Linked DNA regions of Kluyveromyces lactis. The protein of the gene in region 1 purifies or fractionates together with the protein of each later gene. This does not show direct contact. Links are inferred from orthologs where the notes say so. Each region holds a gene or a part of one and is shown in the gene's direction. Other genes may lie near its edges.

Evidence for each region. The genes of interacting proteins can lie anywhere in the genome.
Region 2: the proteins of KRE33 (region 1) and RRP12 purify together in Saccharomyces cerevisiae (affinity purification with mass spectrometry; 3 studies listed by BioGRID). This does not show direct contact. The link is inferred for Kluyveromyces lactis from reciprocal best matches to the Saccharomyces cerevisiae genes KRE33 and RRP12.
Region 3: the proteins of KRE33 (region 1) and IMP4 purify together in Saccharomyces cerevisiae (affinity purification with mass spectrometry; 3 studies listed by BioGRID). This does not show direct contact. The link is inferred for Kluyveromyces lactis from reciprocal best matches to the Saccharomyces cerevisiae genes KRE33 and IMP4.

Annotation. Positions count from the first base shown.
Region 1 is NC_006042.1:2,271,902-2,278,352, reverse strand, and holds the start of KRE33 (ribosome biosynthesis protein KRE33), read left to right. Parts: upstream 1-3,476; coding exon 3,477-6,451. Other genes in the region: FYV6 (Fyv6p), read right to left, coding at 23-517; transcription factor NDT80, read right to left, coding at 881-2,617. UniProt on the Saccharomyces cerevisiae protein: RNA cytidine acetyltransferase with specificity toward both 18S rRNA and tRNAs. Catalyzes the formation of N(4)-acetylcytidine (ac4C) at positions 1280 and 1773 in 18S rRNA.
Region 2 is NC_006042.1:2,518,118-2,524,350, forward strand, and holds the start of RRP12 (mRNA-binding protein RRP12), read left to right. Parts: upstream 1-2,664; coding exon 2,665-6,233. Other genes in the region: CIP1 (Cip1p), read left to right, coding at 1-1,053; MRPS16 (mitochondrial 37S ribosomal protein bS16m), read right to left, coding at 1,579-1,941. UniProt on the Saccharomyces cerevisiae protein: In association with GSP1, required for nuclear export of both pre-40S and pre-60S ribosomal subunits. Required for the late maturation of the 18S and 5.8S rRNA of the pre-40S ribosomes and for maturation of the 25S and 5.8S rRNA of the pre-60S ribosomes.
Region 3 is NC_006041.1:699,924-704,762, reverse strand, and holds IMP4 (snoRNA-binding rRNA-processing protein IMP4), read left to right. Parts: upstream 1-2,718; coding exon 2,719-3,570; downstream 3,571-4,839. Other genes in the region: MKS1 (Mks1p), read left to right, coding at 283-2,277; KLLA0_E07811g (uncharacterized protein), read right to left, coding at 4,137-4,839. UniProt on the Saccharomyces cerevisiae protein: Required for the early cleavages at sites A0, A1 and A2 during 18S ribosomal pre-RNA processing.

The DNA of each region.
Region 1 (6,451 bases):
GAAACCACAATTTTTGCTTTCGCTACTTTTTTTGGGTTCTGTCAGTTTTCTTATGTTTTGGTTTACTAATCACACCTAGCGCATTCTTTGCGCCATTGGACGTTTTTAGTTTTCGTACTTTAATGGAGGTTGGAATAGGATCGTTCTTGGAAATCACCTGTTTGTTAGTGTGCTCCGGTGTAGAAGGTTGCTGCAATAATTGCAGCTGTTTCCGACGATTACGCTCCTCAGATTCAGCCCACTGCGAAAAATTTCGAAGCTTTTCCAATTCATCCAGCTTTACCTTATTGATATGATCTAAGTCATCGTTTGACACTCTCGTGAAGCTGTTCTTTTCCTTTGTCTGTCTCTGAAATTGTTGGCGTTTCTTCTTGGAATTTTCTCTCAATTGATCGCTGAGCGACTTTCTTGTAACCAATTCGCCAACTTCTCGATTGACTTGCTCGTTTCTCCTTTGGCTTTCCAAATCTCCAGAACCCTCCTTGATGAACGTTGGGGCTTTCGGGTTATCCGCCATCTGTGATTTGGGATAGTAATCTTTGGCTGTATTAACTCCGTGAGAATATGCAAAGAAAATTCTGTCTGAAACCAATTAGCTAACAAAAAATTGAATTCAAGATGTCTGACATGTTCTGGTGAACGTTCGTTTAGTTTGCCTGGCTTTATTTGTCAGCGCCTCTCTCTCTCTCTATATTGTAAAATTTATTGTTTTTTCATGGAAAAATGAGAGACGTCTGTTTTCAAGTTCGGAAATTAACGCAAGTAAGATTACCCATTCCGTCTGTCTCTCCAAAATACATCCCTCCTTGCCAGAACTGTTTGCAGCATCATTTGTCTACGCTACGGATAACAGTTGCGGTTGTTTATAAGGCGAAAGCTATTAATGACGGAAGATGCTCGGCCCATCCGACCAGTCTGCAGGGTTTAATAGATCCGAAGGGTTTCCGGAGGCTGTTAAGAGCCTTCTCGAACCAGGCAATCTTTTATGTGACGTACTAGGAGGTGGATATTCGATAAAACTTGATGAATAATCATTCAAACAGTAGGAAATTTCCATCTTGTTTGGAAGCATGGCCCTGGGAATTGCCACCGCAGGAGGCTCTGAAACATCGTAAGTCACATGCTTCAGGAGGAATACGCTTGTAGAAGATAATCGCTCTTTGTTTTCTTTCGATGGAGTCCTTTCCTCAAAAGATATTGTATTAAAGATATTTTCTGTAATGTCATCCAGCGGTTCTTCAAGGTTTGACTCCAGTACAACAGGTTTACTAATATTAAGTCTTCTCTTCTTAAAAATCGAGTCTTGTATGGGAGTGGCACTGTTACTGAAATATGCTACTGACAATGACTCAGATTGGAAACCTCTTGGAAATGAGGTCTCAGTGCTTGACGAGTGCAGTTGTATATTCTTAATTCTCATGTTACCACTAGTCGGTGATATTTCGAATGTGGACGGCAATCCATTGGTTAGAAGTGTTGGGATTCGACCAGCGCTATCGTGAGACACATTTGCAGTAGTTTTAAGATCTGGTTGCTTACTTTTTCGTCCTCGCCTTTTCCGCTCTTTCTTATCAGCTGGCACATCAAGATCGTTTTCTTGTGGGGAACCATTATCAAAATCTGATTTCTTGGTATGCATGACTTTGATTTGTTGGCAATAGTTAGAGGGAGATCTTCCTCTTATTATGAGAGGCGGCGTCTTCTCCATTAGAATTGGAACAAACGTCATGTCAGTCTCTTCATCATAATGATCCAATTCATGATAAGGTGATGACTGCTGAATACCGTCATGTCTTCCCTTCACATAGCAGCCTAAAACCACTAAAAGTGAAAACCGTCTATTTTGTTGGCTAGTTTTCTTCAAAGTTATAGAAGAGGCGAACTGTATCCTTTCATACCTTGCTACTTTTTTGATTGGATCCGATGGGTAGTTTGCCAAGACACTCCTTACTTCACATCCTGTTCCAACGTCTTCTTTATGAAGGAAAAAATAGCTATCAAATTTTTTCATCTTGGATTCGTTTCTCACGTTCGATGCATCTCTTATAATCTGGTGCTTCGGCAAATTTGCAGGTGCAATAACATGTATTGGAGGAGCAAATTGAGGGCCTTTATCTCGCTTTGCAGTGTGTTGAACTAGGTTAATCAATTTATCATCTTCCAAACACTTGGCGGCTAATTTGGTAGCGAAGTATTTGATCTCCACACCGTTATCTAAATGATACGCTTGTTTCATGAACTCGATATGATCAGTCCCCGGTGTGTCAAATGAAGTTACCACGGTGAAATAATTTCTTTTATAACCAATCCAATCGTCATCTATGAAATCAAACCCTCGATCAATCCGAGGCTCCAATTTGATTTCTTGAATCTGTCCAAAATCGTTCAATATCTTGTGATTGGGCACCACTGGCGTAAAGCCTGGGCCTATTTTGAACTGCAATGTTGACCTTGGAGCAATACGAACTTTTCTCTTGTCAAAATGACTACTTAATGACCCGTCAGCGTTCCTAAAAGTTTTGATCACGTCCCCGTCAGCATTATCAAGTGTTTCCAAAAATTCGTTCTCATCTATATTGATATTCTCATCGTTCAGATGGTCCAAATCCTCCATCATAGCAAGTTTGATCACATAAAACTATACTCTGTTCCTATTAAAAGAAAATATAGTTAGCTCTCACTCTCCTCCTGGCTATTGCTATGGAATAACCGCCGAGCTTACCTGAATGACCACGAAAAAATAAAACCAAAATAAAACCTAGGAATCGTACGTTCCGTATAAGAGATAACCACAACTGCGCTTGTTCAGGTAAAGAAACAACCTTATAATCGAACCTCGTTCTGATGTCAGTTCTTAACCTCTTATCTTATTCATCGGATCTATTTCATAAGAATATTGCCCTTATTCCTTGTGACACAAAAATACTGGTATTTATATAATGTTAGTTTTTCCCTTTTCGTCAGTCATGAAGAAAACTTTAATTAATACCCATGAAAACTACTACTGAAGTTTAAATATGAATTTAAAATATTAGTCGACATCACATAATGGTGCATTATGCACACGTAGTCATTTCTTGAAATTAGCCGCCGAAATTACACTGCGCATGAAATTCATGCGGGTAACAGTATATTTTCATCAAATAATTCCGGGTAAGTAGTATCTTTTCTTTTCTCTGCCTAATTTTTTTTTTTTTTTTTCATTGTCTTTTTACTATTTCATCGTATTAGGTAGGAATTTTATTTCGAGATGAGATGAGATCAAATGAGATGAGGTGGTTTGCTGAGAAGCTATCTGAGTATTACGAGACGTTTATTTCTCCCCAAAATACCTGATTACTGTACTTCGTTACTACAAAAAAAATCATTAAAAACACTAACTCTTCCCAACGGTCGAACTTCCAGCGAAACGTAACTGTCATTGTTTGTTGTTAAAGAGTGTGTTCTTAAAACTTTAAACCAGAAGTTAGATTACGATGGGTAAAAAAGCTATTGATTCTCGTATCCCAGCTCTCATCAGAAATGGTGTTCAAACAAATCAGAGATCATTTTTCGTTATCGTTGGTGACAATGCTCGTAACCAGCTACCGAACTTGCACTATTTAATGATGAGTGCTGACCTCAAAATGAATAAATCCGTGTTATGGACGTATAAGAAGAAACTCTTGGGTTTCACTTCACACAGGAAGAAGAGAGAAGCAAAGATTAAGAAAGAGATCAAGAGAGGTACCAGAGAGATAAATGAACAAGATCCTTTTGAAACTTTCATCTCTAACCAAAACATTCGATACTGTTATTATAAGGAAACTGAAAAAATTTTGGGTAACACTTATGGTATGTGTATCCTACAAGATTTTGAAGCTTTGACTCCAAATTTGCTAGCAAGAACCATCGAAACCGTTGAAGGTGGTGGTATCATTGTTATCATGTTAAAGTCCATTTCCTCTCTAAAACAGTTATACACTATGACTATGGATATCCACTCTCGTTATAGAACGGAAGCTCATGACGATGTCGTGGCAAGATTCAACGAAAGATTTATCTTGTCCTTGGGTTCGAATGAAAACTGTTTGGTAGTAGATAGTGAGTTAAACGTTTTACCTATATCTGGAGGAAAAAACGTAAAACCACTTCCACCAAAGGATGATGAAGAAATTTCACCAAAAAATCAAGAACTAAAAGAATTGAAAGTGTCTTTAGAAGATGTTCAGCCTGCGGGATCATTAGTTGCTCTTTCAAAAACGGTTAATCAAGCTCATGCAATCTTGACCTTCATTGATGCCATTTCAGAGAAAACTTTAAATTCAACTGTAGCATTGACGGCAGGTAGAGGTAGAGGTAAATCAGCTGCTCTAGGTATTTCTATTGCTGCTGCTGTATCCCATGGTTACTCCAATATCTTTGTAACATCTCCTTCCCCTGAGAATTTGAAGACTTTATTTGAGTTTATTTTCAAAGGATTTGACGCTCTAGGCTATCAGGAGCACATTGATTATGATATCATTCAGTCCACCAATCCAAGCTTCAACAAAGCCATAGTCAGAGTAGACATCAAGAGAGAACATAGACAGACCATTCAATATATTATTCCAAATGATTCTCATGTGTTGGGACAGGCAGAACTTGTTGTCATTGATGAAGCTGCCGCAATTCCACTACCACTTGTAAAGAAGCTTTTGGGTCCGTACTTAGTGTTTATGGCATCCACTATTAACGGTTATGAAGGTACCGGTAGATCTTTGTCTTTGAAATTGATTCAACAGCTAAGAACTCAATCCAACGGTACTGGCCGTGAAGATTCCGAAACAGCACTTGTTTCCAGAGATTCAAAGAAACAAGAAGTTCAAACAAGTGGCCGTTCTTTGAGAGAAGTTGTCTTAGATGAACCTATCAGATACGCTCCTGGTGACCCAGTTGAAAAATGGTTGAATAAATTACTTTGTTTGGACGTTCAACTAATCAAAAATCCAAGATTTGCTGCTAGAGGCACACCTCATCCATCTCAATGTAATTTATTCATCGTCAATAGAGATACTCTATTTTCTTATCATCCTGTTTCTGAAAATTTTCTGGAGAAGATGATGGCTCTTTATGTCGCATCGCATTACAAGAATTCTCCTAACGACTTGCAATTAATGAGTGATGCACCTGCTCATCAACTATTCGTTTTATTGCCTCCCATCGATCCAAAAGATGGCGGCAGAATACCTGATCCCTTAGTGGTCATCCAGGTCGCATTGGAAGGTGAGATCTCGAAGGATTCTGTCAGAAATTCTTTGGCAAGAGGTCAAAGAGCTGGTGGTGACTTAATTCCATGGCTAATCTCACAGCAATTTCAAGATGAAGAATTTGCCGGTTTGAGTGGTGCCCGTGTTGTTAGGATTGCAACCAATCCGGAATACGCCTCTATGGGTTATGGGTCTAGGGCTCTGGAGTTATTGAAAGATCATTTCGAAGGTAAATTCACCGATTTGAATGAAGATACGGTACAAAAGGACTACACAATCAAGAGAGTCGATGACAGGGATTTGAAGAAAGCAGACCTCTTGAAAGATGAAATCAAATTAAGGGATGCAAAGACGTTGCCACCATTGCTTCTGAAACTCTCAGAACAAACCCCTCACTTTTTGCATTACTTAGGTGTTTCATATGGTTTAACAAAATCTTTACATAAGTTCTGGAAAAACAACGGATTTGTCCCAGTTTACTTACGTCAAACAGCGAATGATTTGACTGGTGAACATACATGTGTTATGGTTAAAGTTCTTGAAGGTCGTGAATCAAAATGGCTGGCAGAATTTGCCAAAGATTTCCATAAAAGATTCTTGTCTTTATTATCGTTCGACTTTAAGAAATTCACTGCCATCGAAGCGTTAAATGTCATTGAATCTGCTAAGAAGGGTGAAACACTAGACCAAGACTCGGAGGGCAGATCGTTCCAGAATAAGGTTTTAACAAGGGACCAATTGGATTCCATCTTTTCTCCATTCGATCTAAAGAGGTTAGAAAGCTATGCTAACAACTTACTGGATTATCATGTCATTGTTGATCTTCTACCAATGATGGCATTGCTATACTTTAGTGGAAAGCTGGGTGACGGTGTATCATTATCAAGCGTACAATCGTGTATACTACTTGCAATTGGTTTGCAACACAAGGGCATTGATGACATAACGAAAGAGTTGAACTTACCATCCAATCAAACTATTGCCATGTTCTCCAAGATTATCAGGAAATTCACCAATTTCTTCAGGGAAGTTTTAAGCGAGTCTATTGAAAAAACCTTACCTCAAATCAAGGACCAAGAAATTGCCGAAATGAATGGCGAAGAAGTGTTGTCTTACAATGCTGCCGAAGTCATTGACAAAATGGAAGATGACCTTGAAAATGCAGGGAACGAAGCTATCAGCGCAATGAGAGAAAAGCAGAAAGAATTGATCAATTCCTTGAA
Region 2 (6,233 bases), about 250 kb from region 1:
TTGAATACAGATGCATCTACATGGTACGTGCTAGAACAACAGCAACAAGTTTCTACGCCAGTTATGACTCCTGTAAATCAGTCAGGGCCGCCTCACATATATACAAACAGACATGGAAGCATGTCATCTCTTGCCAGTTCTGTTTCAGAACTGGGATATTCAAATGGAAGACCTTCTACTGCCAATAATATCAGCTCTATTCCTGCACCATTTACCCCCCAGTTTGTCTCTTTATTATTGGAGGTTTACCTACAGGTCTGCTCAGATCCGACAGTCACTCCATTCGATAGCAGTAACCCGCCTTCGGGGATTCTGCACCGGGTATCTAAAGTAGCAGTGGAAACAGCTGATGCTGATCAAGTTGATATCGGTCTGGAGAGAAATTCGTGGTTGTTGACTTTAGTGAGACAGCGGTTGTTGAAAGAGGTGCGGAAAGAAAACTATCTTTCAAGAAACAGTTCTATCATATCACTACCTCCTGTTCCTCAGTTCGGAAACGAAGGAATGTCTAACAATATGCTACAGCAAAGTCCACAGGATTATTTCAATTGTCATTCTGCCGAAAGTACAAATTCTCCACCTTCTTCCTTTACTACGAACTATTACACTGGTTTGAACTCGCCATTCGAATCTAGACCATCGTCGCAGCAGTTGCAACAACCGTTACAACTATCACAAGGCACTACGCAAGTTCCTCCTCAGAATCCAAAAGCTCTTGTCAGGTCACGAAACAATAGTTTCATTACAGCCGCTAGTAGATCAAGAAGTAACTCGTTCAAGATACACCCACAATTGTCAAATACTATTAGTGGTGTACAGCCACCTGCTCTTCCCAATCTAACAAGGTCAAGATCCTCTAGTAATGCTCATTTCTTTCTTACTCCAACAAATTCTATCCCATCCCAATCATCTTTCCTAGCACAATCAACCGCAAGCGTAAATACTCTTTTGAACTCAACTTCAAATGCTACAAATACTGCTGCTGCTGGTCAACAGCCTGATGAACGAAACAATAGATTACCCACACATATAGAAAATGAATCCAATTTATAGTTGCACTGGAACACAATTTGACTCGATGTAACATCATGAGCACTAATCTCCAATACAAACCTGAACATTACACCAAACATACCTATTAAATACTTGAGAAGTTAGACATTCACTCACTCATTCACAAAAACATAACATAAACCATCTTTTTGTTCTTGTAATTTTGTTAATATTTATGAATTTTCGGAAATCACATAGTTTAACAGTCAGTATTCCTCGATGATACTTCCCTCATTCAGGGAAATATATGCTGATGACGATTATTATTATTGTGTAGAATTACCTGATAGCATCTTATATATGGTGATATGTAAATTTAATCACTTCAATTTTACCGCATGGGGCCAAGCTGTTAAGTGTATGTAACTACTACATTGGTTTATGACCGGAAAAAGTGCCCGAATTCCTCTTATCAATTTAAGCCTATATACATGAGTTCTTGACCGTAAGAAAGCCTTGGGAGATGGTGATTTATGCCCTGATTATTGATATACCGCTTTTAATACAGTAATCGGAACAGCTGGTCTATTCTTCAAAGACTTCTTTCCTAGGTTCAATAACAACCCTACTACTTGTGTAGGTCTTTCCCCAATTTTCATCCAGGATTCCAGCTTTTCTCAATAGTCTTGTTACCGTATCACTAGGTTGAGCACCAACACCGATCCAGTATTTAGCTCTTCCGAAGTCTAATTCCACATCTTTAGTAGGAACAACACCTTGTTTAACCTCTTTCTTCGTTAATGGTTTTGGGATTGGGTTGTATGTTCCTAATACTTCAATTGGTTTCCTATTCAACGCCTTATGTTTGTTGGTAACAACTATGTTGTATACTGGGGTATGTTTCCTTCCGAATCTAGCTAGTCTTATCCTCACCAAACCTTTCGTCATGATTATTGTATTTCACCAAACTTGGCGTTAAATTCTGGTTTAAGAGACTTGGTTTACTCGCTCTGGTCGTCTTGATACATAATATGTTTGTCCTGTTATTACGCTTTTAATGTTGATTGAATTTTTTTTTCTATCTTTCGAAGGATTTTCAACACCAACTAAATAAAGCATGTCTATCACGTGATATAGGTGGGATATCTAACAGCCGTATGAGCAACATTCGTCTTAGGCGTTTATGGCGACATTACAGCCTAATAGTATAGGAAGTTGATCTATGAGAAAGTATCTATAAGTGAGAAAGTGTTTATTTACTGGAGTTAGACTGACGGTGGGAATTAGTTTACCAAAAATGCAGTCATATAAAACGACTTGGCATTACAAATAACATCGCATTCAGTAAAGAAAGTTAACGACACAAATAATGAAATAGTATGTTCTTGAACCCGTTTAGCAGACGCATATATACAGAGTTGGCATATATTAACCAAAATTTATTTACTTTTTATTCTCTGCTTTCTTCATTGCCTCACGATCCTTGCTGCTTCATCACTAAGGGCTTAAAAAGAAATTTTTCACAAGCTGTATAAAATTTTCAATCTAGCTCATCTCATCGCTCATCTCATCTAACAAGTAGAGACGAGTTATAATCAACAACACCTCAGAAAAGAGAATTACTGAGTTTAACTTGGGATTGAAAACTGACAAGCGAACAAATTGTGCAATATGGGTCCTGAACAAGCGTCCAAGCTTCTTGAACTTGAAGATAAGCTTGCTAAAATCAGAGGACAATCTACATCAAAACTAGAGAATCAGAAGCACATTGCCATAATCTTGGCTGCTATTGAAGAAAATATTAATGAGCAAGAGGCAATTAATAAGAACATCGTGAATTATCTTATTTCTTTGATGTCCTTGCTGGATCAAACTATCGATACAGAAACTGCGGCCATTAAAGATCTACAATTAGCAACATCAACGATGTATTTGTTGGACATCATTTTTCATTATACACCAAAGAAAATATTAAAGAGCAGGTTTGCTGATATTTTGATTAAAGTTGCCCCATGTATTACTGATGAAAAGGCTAACGCTCCTTTGATCAAATCCGCTCTTGGTTGTTTAGAAGCTTTGTTAATTGCCCAGGATACGCAAACGTGGAATAACACTCAAAATTTAAAGGTGACTCCAACAAGAGGTTTGGATGGTCTACTTGAGCTATCTCTAGATCCAAGACCAAAAGTAAGGAAGAGAGCACAGGATGCAATTACCAACATTCTAAAAAACCCTCCACCTGGTCCAACAGCAGAACACGTCGCATCACCTTTGATCTCAGCATTCGCTATTAATGCATTGGTATCCATCCTTGATGAATCTGCAACGATTTCCAATAAGAAGCTAAGAGCAATGGGAGGTGCAAGTGAATTGAACTCCAAAATCATTCATATTTTGAAACTTTTGAGCAATATAATATCAACAAATCAATGGCCAACTGCGCATGTGGAAAAACTCTGTGATCTGCTATTGGAAGTTTGTAAAACCTCGGACCAATTTTTGGTATCTAATTCTTTTAACTGTTTTGAGGTTCTATTCCAGTCTATGGCCGAGTCTTCAGTCTCATCTGGCTTAGCGGAGAATAAATTCATGAAAGCCCTTGATGTCATTTTTTCATTAAAACCATCCCAAAATGATACACATTTGGCAGCAGCCTGGATTGCAGTCGTCGCTAAAGGTATCAGCACATATGCGATTCACGATCCATTAAAGTGTTTTGTTAAGATTCCTGAAGTTTTCAGAACTTTATCATTTTACCTATCAAGTGAGATTCCAGATATCTACTTTAGCGCAGCACAATGTTTAATCGCTATTGTCACTGACGCAATCAAATCAGAAATTTTGTTGTATCCACCTTCCGTTTCCGCTGAGCACTTTGAAGCAGTTGATGAAGTTATTCAAGAGTTGTCTGAGATATTTGTGGATCTATTATCTATTAAATACACACATTGTGCTAAGGCAGTGTTAAATGTTTTGACGGCTACTTTCAAAAAGTTGAAATATAGAGCCAATCCAGATTTTATCAAACCTCTAGAGATTGTAGGCAGTTGGAGAACAGATGAACAAAACTTCTTGGACTTGAGATCCGAGGCAGAAAACGTTATCGGTGGGGCTATAGAAGCTATTGGTGTAGATGCTGTACTAGGATGTTTACCACTAAATTTAATTAGTCCATCTACATCAAAACCGGGAAGGGCCTGGTTGTTACCAATATTAAGAGACTCCATCCAGAATTCTACGTTAAATACATTTTTCAAAGAGTTTTTACCTCTTATCAAACATTTCGAATCTCAATTCGATAAATTTGGTAAAGAATCTGTTCAGTTAAAGGTATATCAAACTGTTGTAGATCAAATCTGGTCTTTATTGCCACCATTCTGTGATTTGCCAACCGATTTGACTGAAGCTTTTTCTGATGAGGTGGCTGCTGAATTGTCTGGTTTGTTATATTCCCACGTTGAACTTAGAACGACTATTTGTCGTGCTCTAAGAAATCTCGTCGAAAGTAATCTAGTATATCAAAAAAACTCAACTACAGATTCGCTTCTTTTGCAACACTTTTCCATAGAAAGTGCTACGAACAGTTTAGAATACTTGTCTACCAAATCTTCTAATATGTTAGCGGTGCTCTTCAATGTTTATACTCAAACCGCTCCAAACGCCAGAGGATATATCCTTGAGACAATTGATTCTTATCTGCAAATAACAAAGAAAGAAGACCTTGCACAAACATTTAATAATGTATGTGGGCTCTTGAATACTGCTCTTCAAGAAGAAGCTAAAAAGAACAACAATGAAATGTCTGCTACTTTGCTCGATTTAGTTATCGCGATGGTAAAATATGTTCCACCTTCCTCATATGGTGCCCTCTTTGCTATTTTCAATTCCATCGTCAACTCAGAAAATGCATTATTCCAAAAGAGAGCATACCGTATTATTCATAAACTTTCAGAAATCGAAGAAGGTTCCGATGCCATCACGAATTTCATATCTGATATTGAAAATGTCATGTTGAACAGCGCATCAACTGTTCACACTTCCTCTAAATCAGCAAGGTTGGCGGCAATTAGAACTCTCGTAAATTTACTTCCACCTACTCAACTAGGATTTATTGTTCAGGTTGTGGCAGAAGTCATATTGTGTACCAAAGATGTCAACGAAAAATCCCGTGAGACGGCTTTTGAAATTCTTATCCAAATGGCTAACAAAATGGATAGTTCAGAGGGTGTTATCAAACTTTCCTGCATTCCAAATTATGACCCCAACACTCCAGACCAACCCTCTTCCGTTGCTGAATTTTTCAGAATTATTTCAGCTGGTTTAATTGGGGAATCGCAACATATGGTAAGCGCAACAATCACCGCATATTCTTGTTTGGTTTTCGAGTTTAAAGATAAAGTTGATGTTGATGTTCTCTTAGAAATTTATGACACAATCGAACTATATTTAACCTCTAATTCAAGAGAGATTGTCAAAAGTGCGATTGGTTTTGCAAAAGTTTGCTGTTTAGGTCTCAATGATGAAGTCATGAAGCCTAAAGTTCCAGAATTACTTCCTAAATTATTACGTTGGTCTCATGAACATACTGGCCATTTCAAGGCAAAGGTTAAGCACATCATAGAAAGATTGATTAGGAGATTTGGATACGATTATATTGAGTCAATATTCCCAGAAGAAGACTTGAGATTGCTTGCCAATATCAGAAAGTCTCGTAACAGAAGTATTCGTAAACGAGATGAAGGCGAAGAAGAAGCGCCAGCGCAAGCTGCTCCTTCAAATAAGTCGTCTAGATTCATGTCCGCCCTTGATGAAGCTCTATATTCTTCTGAAGAAGAGAGTGAAGATGAAGACAAAAACAATACAAAATCTGATAGAAGAAAGAAGGGTTCTAAACAATTCATTGTCGAGTCGAAGGAGACCCCATTAGATTTATTGGACTCTCAAACATTGGCGCATATTTCCTCGACTAGACCAAAATCAAATAAAAATGAAAGAAGAAGGATTGTCGATGATGAAGTGTTCAGCTTTGATGCAGAAGGTAAGTTGGTTATGAAAAACGATAGGAGAAGAGGAGAAAATAACAATGAAGATCCGTTAGAGGCTATTACCAGTGGTGTTAATGCATACTTAGATGCTGTCAAACAAGGTCCAGTAAAGGGTCAAAAGAACAGACTAAAATTCAAAAAAGGATCCAGAGCTGGCAATGAGGATGATTTCAGTGATGATGAACAGGAAACCAA
Region 3 (4,839 bases), on another chromosome or scaffold:
CAGGTCAGGCATTATTTCCCATATTAAAGGTGTGCTTTAACTTGTTGAACTTGATTTATAACTGTTGTTATTGAACAGAGGAAAGAGACCAAAGACCAGCCACGAGTAATCAATCTGAACAGTAAAAGACGAAGAATCTGTTATCGCTTGGCATCATAGGACTTCAGAGTTCGCACGAATTTTTTTTTTTATTATTTTGTTTTTACTTCAACACGAAGCACCGTCTTTCCTCCGGTGGTCTTACCTCTTTTCTATTCACCTTATCATACTGTTTAGATTAATATGGATCAGAGGATTTCAATACGCAGGCGAGAAATGGATCCCAAGATGCTTAACTGTACCGATAAAAATCGGTTCCAGATGCTACACGCGAGTAGTGATGTAGAACATGAACAAAATCATACGTTTTTGAAAGTGAGTCCCGCTCTTTTCACGCAGGATAAACTGCCGTTGTTCGATTCTTTAGACTTATACACTTCGTTGATCAAATGTAGCAAATTCATGGAGCAAGGAGAACGGCTGCATAACCTTAGTTGGAGGATCATTAATAAGTCGTTGTTGAAAGATCAGAATATCAACAAGTCAAAGAGACGGGATGGTGTACGGAACCTATATCACGTTATTAATCCTATAAAGCAAACGCACTTATTCCCACAACTGCAGCAACAGCTGCAGAAACCAAAAGCTGTGACACCGGCGTCACCAAAGACTCCAACTACAATGGTAACTGCAGCTTCCACCTCGGCGACATCGTCCGGTTCATCATCTGCGCTGTTGACACCAATCTCTAGTGGGGCCTCGATACCGAAATCGACTGCTAATACGCATATTACGTCAACAAGACCTCATATCTCAATTTCGAAGAAACTGATATCACCTGTGTGTTCTTCACCTGAACCTCTACCGACGAAAATGGAGGTTCCATCAAGGTCCCAGGCAAACACCCCTGATCTACGGAAAGATTTGGCAAAGAAGAAATTCGCTATTTCTCCTGAATTGGTCAATGTACCGAAGAACCATCAACAACAATTACCTTTACCACCATCATCATCAGAACCCCCGGTGTCAAATCATGTGCCTTTATCGGAAACAAAGTCAAATGCTCACTCACAGACTTCTTTGTTCAGTAGAAACCCATCTAGTAAATCATTATTTGCGAAAAATCAACCTACTCCATTCACCCCGGCCAATGGATCTACTAATTCATCTGCCAATGGATCTGCTGAAAACCTCAAATCAAATGAGATGAATCATTCCTCGAGAACGTCATCAGTTGCCAACAATATCGCTCATACATCTAGTAATGGCACCAAATCTGGAACGTCTGGTACTATAAGTAATGCAGCGCATGTGCATGCCGGACAAGATCACAAGAATATGTTCTTTAGTAGTGAGGACGAAGAATCTGATTGGGACTCTCTTTCAGATGATAGTGAGATATACGATGAAGAAGAAGATAATGATCAATATTATGAAAACCAATGGGATAAGCTGATGTTCTCAAAGACACACCAAAACAATAATGTTCATCAAGTGCCTTCAAAAGAATCCGGAGAGAAGAAAAGTTTGTTGTCTGGTCTATTCATGCAAGAGAAACAAACCAAGTCACAAGTTGATCCAGAGGATAAAGCATACACTACAACCAATGAGGATTTGCTCAAAAGACCACTATATGTTTCTGAAGCAACATCTTCAGCAAAGGCTGTTGAGAAACCTGTCTTAAAGTCTTTGGATAAACAATCGGAAAAGCCTCTGAGAAAGAAGACCGATCAAAATTGCATATTACATCAGAATCCAACAGGAATTCAAATACCGCCTCAACCTGTTGCTCCAGAAACTACGGAAATAGTTGCTGTGGGCTCTGTGACACCATCAAGTTCGTGGCAGAACAAACCTCTTTTGGATCATCAAAAGCCAATTCCTGTCGCATTTGAGCGTTCCAGAAGACTCGGCTCTTTTAGTAGTATCGTAAGCGATACTACTAGAGAACGGTATTATCATGAATCGAATGCACCTCCGGCTGCTCAGACCATTTTACCTACTGCTCTTTCTACCCATATGTTTTTGCCTAATAACGTCCACCAACAAAGGATGGCATTACGTGGAGGAAGTCTTCAATCAGATTTTGATACTGAAATAGCCAAAAAGGTAGCATCGAGACGTGAATCGATGGATATCCCTTCCAAAAACAGAAACAATTTCTTCCTCAAGACTAGAATGGAAATCTCAGAAGAAGAAAGCTTCGCTAGAGCATATGGCAGATGTGTCAAGAAGTGAAGGTAATTTCCTTCATTTACTAAACATCATCCACGACAAATATTAATTACCTTTGATAGACTGTATAAAACCTCGTTTAATGACAACCAAGTAATTCTTTAATATGTCACCAATTACAGTGTCTGTTGTATGTAACCGATGTTACGATAATGCGTTTCTTAGCGTATTTGGCTTTATGGATTTGTATAAAGGTTTTGTCACGTGACCATTTGGTATTATTCTAATAATTATTTCTTTTTGAGGCTGAAATTTTTACATGAACGATGCGATGAGATGAGACGTTAGAGCTGAAGAACAACTTAGCTGGTTGGACATTTTTGTTTACGACGGACTAGTATCGTGTATATACGTACTGTAGTCACTATAAACAGGCATTATTATAGTATATTATCAGCTATTCGCTTTTTTGGTACTATACAAGCAACACATTATTGAAGTACGATGTTAAGAAGGCAAGCTCGTGAAAGAAGAGAATACTTGTACCGTAAAGCACAAGAGCTACAAGAATCTCAACTACAACAAAAGCGCCAAATCATAAAGCAAGCGTTAGCACAGGGGAAACCACTACCAAAGGAAATTGCTGAAGATGAGCAACTACAGAAAGATTTTCAATACGATGAAAGTGCTCAGGAACAGATAGATGATGAGTACAGCGCAACAAGCGGTATCGCAGAACCTAAGATTATTGTGACAACATCTAGAGACCCTAGTACTAGGTTATCACAGTTTGCAAAAGAAATCAAATTACTGTTCCCAACAGCGGTAAGATTAAACAGAGGTAATTACATTATGCCGAATCTTGTCGATGCCTGTCAAACATCAGGAACGTCAGATTTGGTTGTTCTTCATGAACATAGAGGTGTTCCTACATCACTAACGGTATCACATTTCCCACATGGTCCAACAGCATTTTTCACATTACACAACGTCGTTTTAAGACATGACATTTTAAATTCGGGGAATCAAAGTGAAGTAAATCCACATCTAATCTTCGATAATTTCACAACACCATTGGGTAAGAGAGTAGAGACGATTTTAAAGCACCTATTCCCACCTGGTCCAAAGAAAGATGCAGCAAGGGTGATAACGTTTGCAAACAGAGGAGATTTTATCAGCGTTAGGCAACATGTTTATGTGAAAACCAGAGAAGGTGTGGAGTTAGCAGAAGTGGGACCTAGGTTCGAGATGAGATTGTTCGAATTAAAATTAGGAACATTAGAAAATAAAGATGCTGACGTAGAATGGCAACTAAGAAGATTTGTTAGAACGGCTAGTAGAAAGGACTATTTATAATTATAGTAAGCATAATAAGACAATTCCATCATAATGTCCATAAAATCAAGCAAAGTATAACATTTTTGCTAGTGGAAAGAATTCTATCAAACGTATTTCGTTTTAACGACGGAAAGGGTATGTTGTTTGAGGAGATACAGGAAAATTAAACACAATTACATGATATTAGCAAACCCTGGAGCATGAAGCAACTGCGTTTCAGTCACTGTATTTATAGATAGGATAAAAAGAATCAGAAAGAGAAAAAGAAAACACCCGTAAGTAAATTAACATAAAAGAATAACAACCTTCTCATTTCGATATAAATAAAAATAGAATGTTAATTCAAAATAGAGTTATAACGATTGACTGTACCGAGGAGACGGTAAGGGAAAGAGTTGCTGAACGAGAGAAAAAATAAGGGAAGGGGAAGAAGATGTATCAAAGAAGAGACGGAAAAAATAAATGACCCGTTCTTGGCCAGAAAATTCAAGTGATTGCTTGAAAACAGATAAACGTAGCAATTTCCTTCTATTTAAAAGCGCGCTGAATGGCTCATGGATCATCCTTATTCTTTCTTTTTAATGTTAGATTTCGTTAGTCAACTTTTTCTTCACCACTTCGCTTGCCGTATTGGATTGAAGTTGCTCATCATAAAAAACATCATCCAGTATATGGGTATTCGCGCTTGACACGGAGCTTCTACTGAAGTTATTCGCGTACGGTGAAACTCCACTAGCATTGGAGTACGCTCTTGTCTTGTACGCTGGAGGAGAGAATTTTTTGTTAAAACCAGATCCCTGAGTAGAAGTACGTGATAAACGAAGTCCTTGAGGATTTACTGGTGGGGTGTTCAGTGTACCTGCACTAGATACATCATGATCTAAACCACGATGCTGTGTATTTCTGTTGTTGTTGTTGTTGTTGTTGTTGTTGTTGTTGTTGTTGTTGTTGTTGTTGTTGTTGCTGTTGCTGCTGTTGCTGTTACTGCGATGTTGGTCCGGATCTTCATCATCGGAACATTCACTTCCGCTGGACTCTATTTGAAAGTTACTCTTGCGCAACAACGCACTATTTGGGTTATGTGGGATCATTAAAGGGGAAGTACTCAGTCTATGTCCATTTGTAGTATTAGTATTTGGGGAACGGCACGCGAGATTCCCCGAATAATGTCTTGTAGCAACGGCCAGTGGTGGAATGGAAACGTTGGAAAGTTTTCTATGTGATTCCAAGGGACTAACACCCTGTCCACTGTTCCCACCGTTTGCAGCTACCGCAGCAGCTATAGCC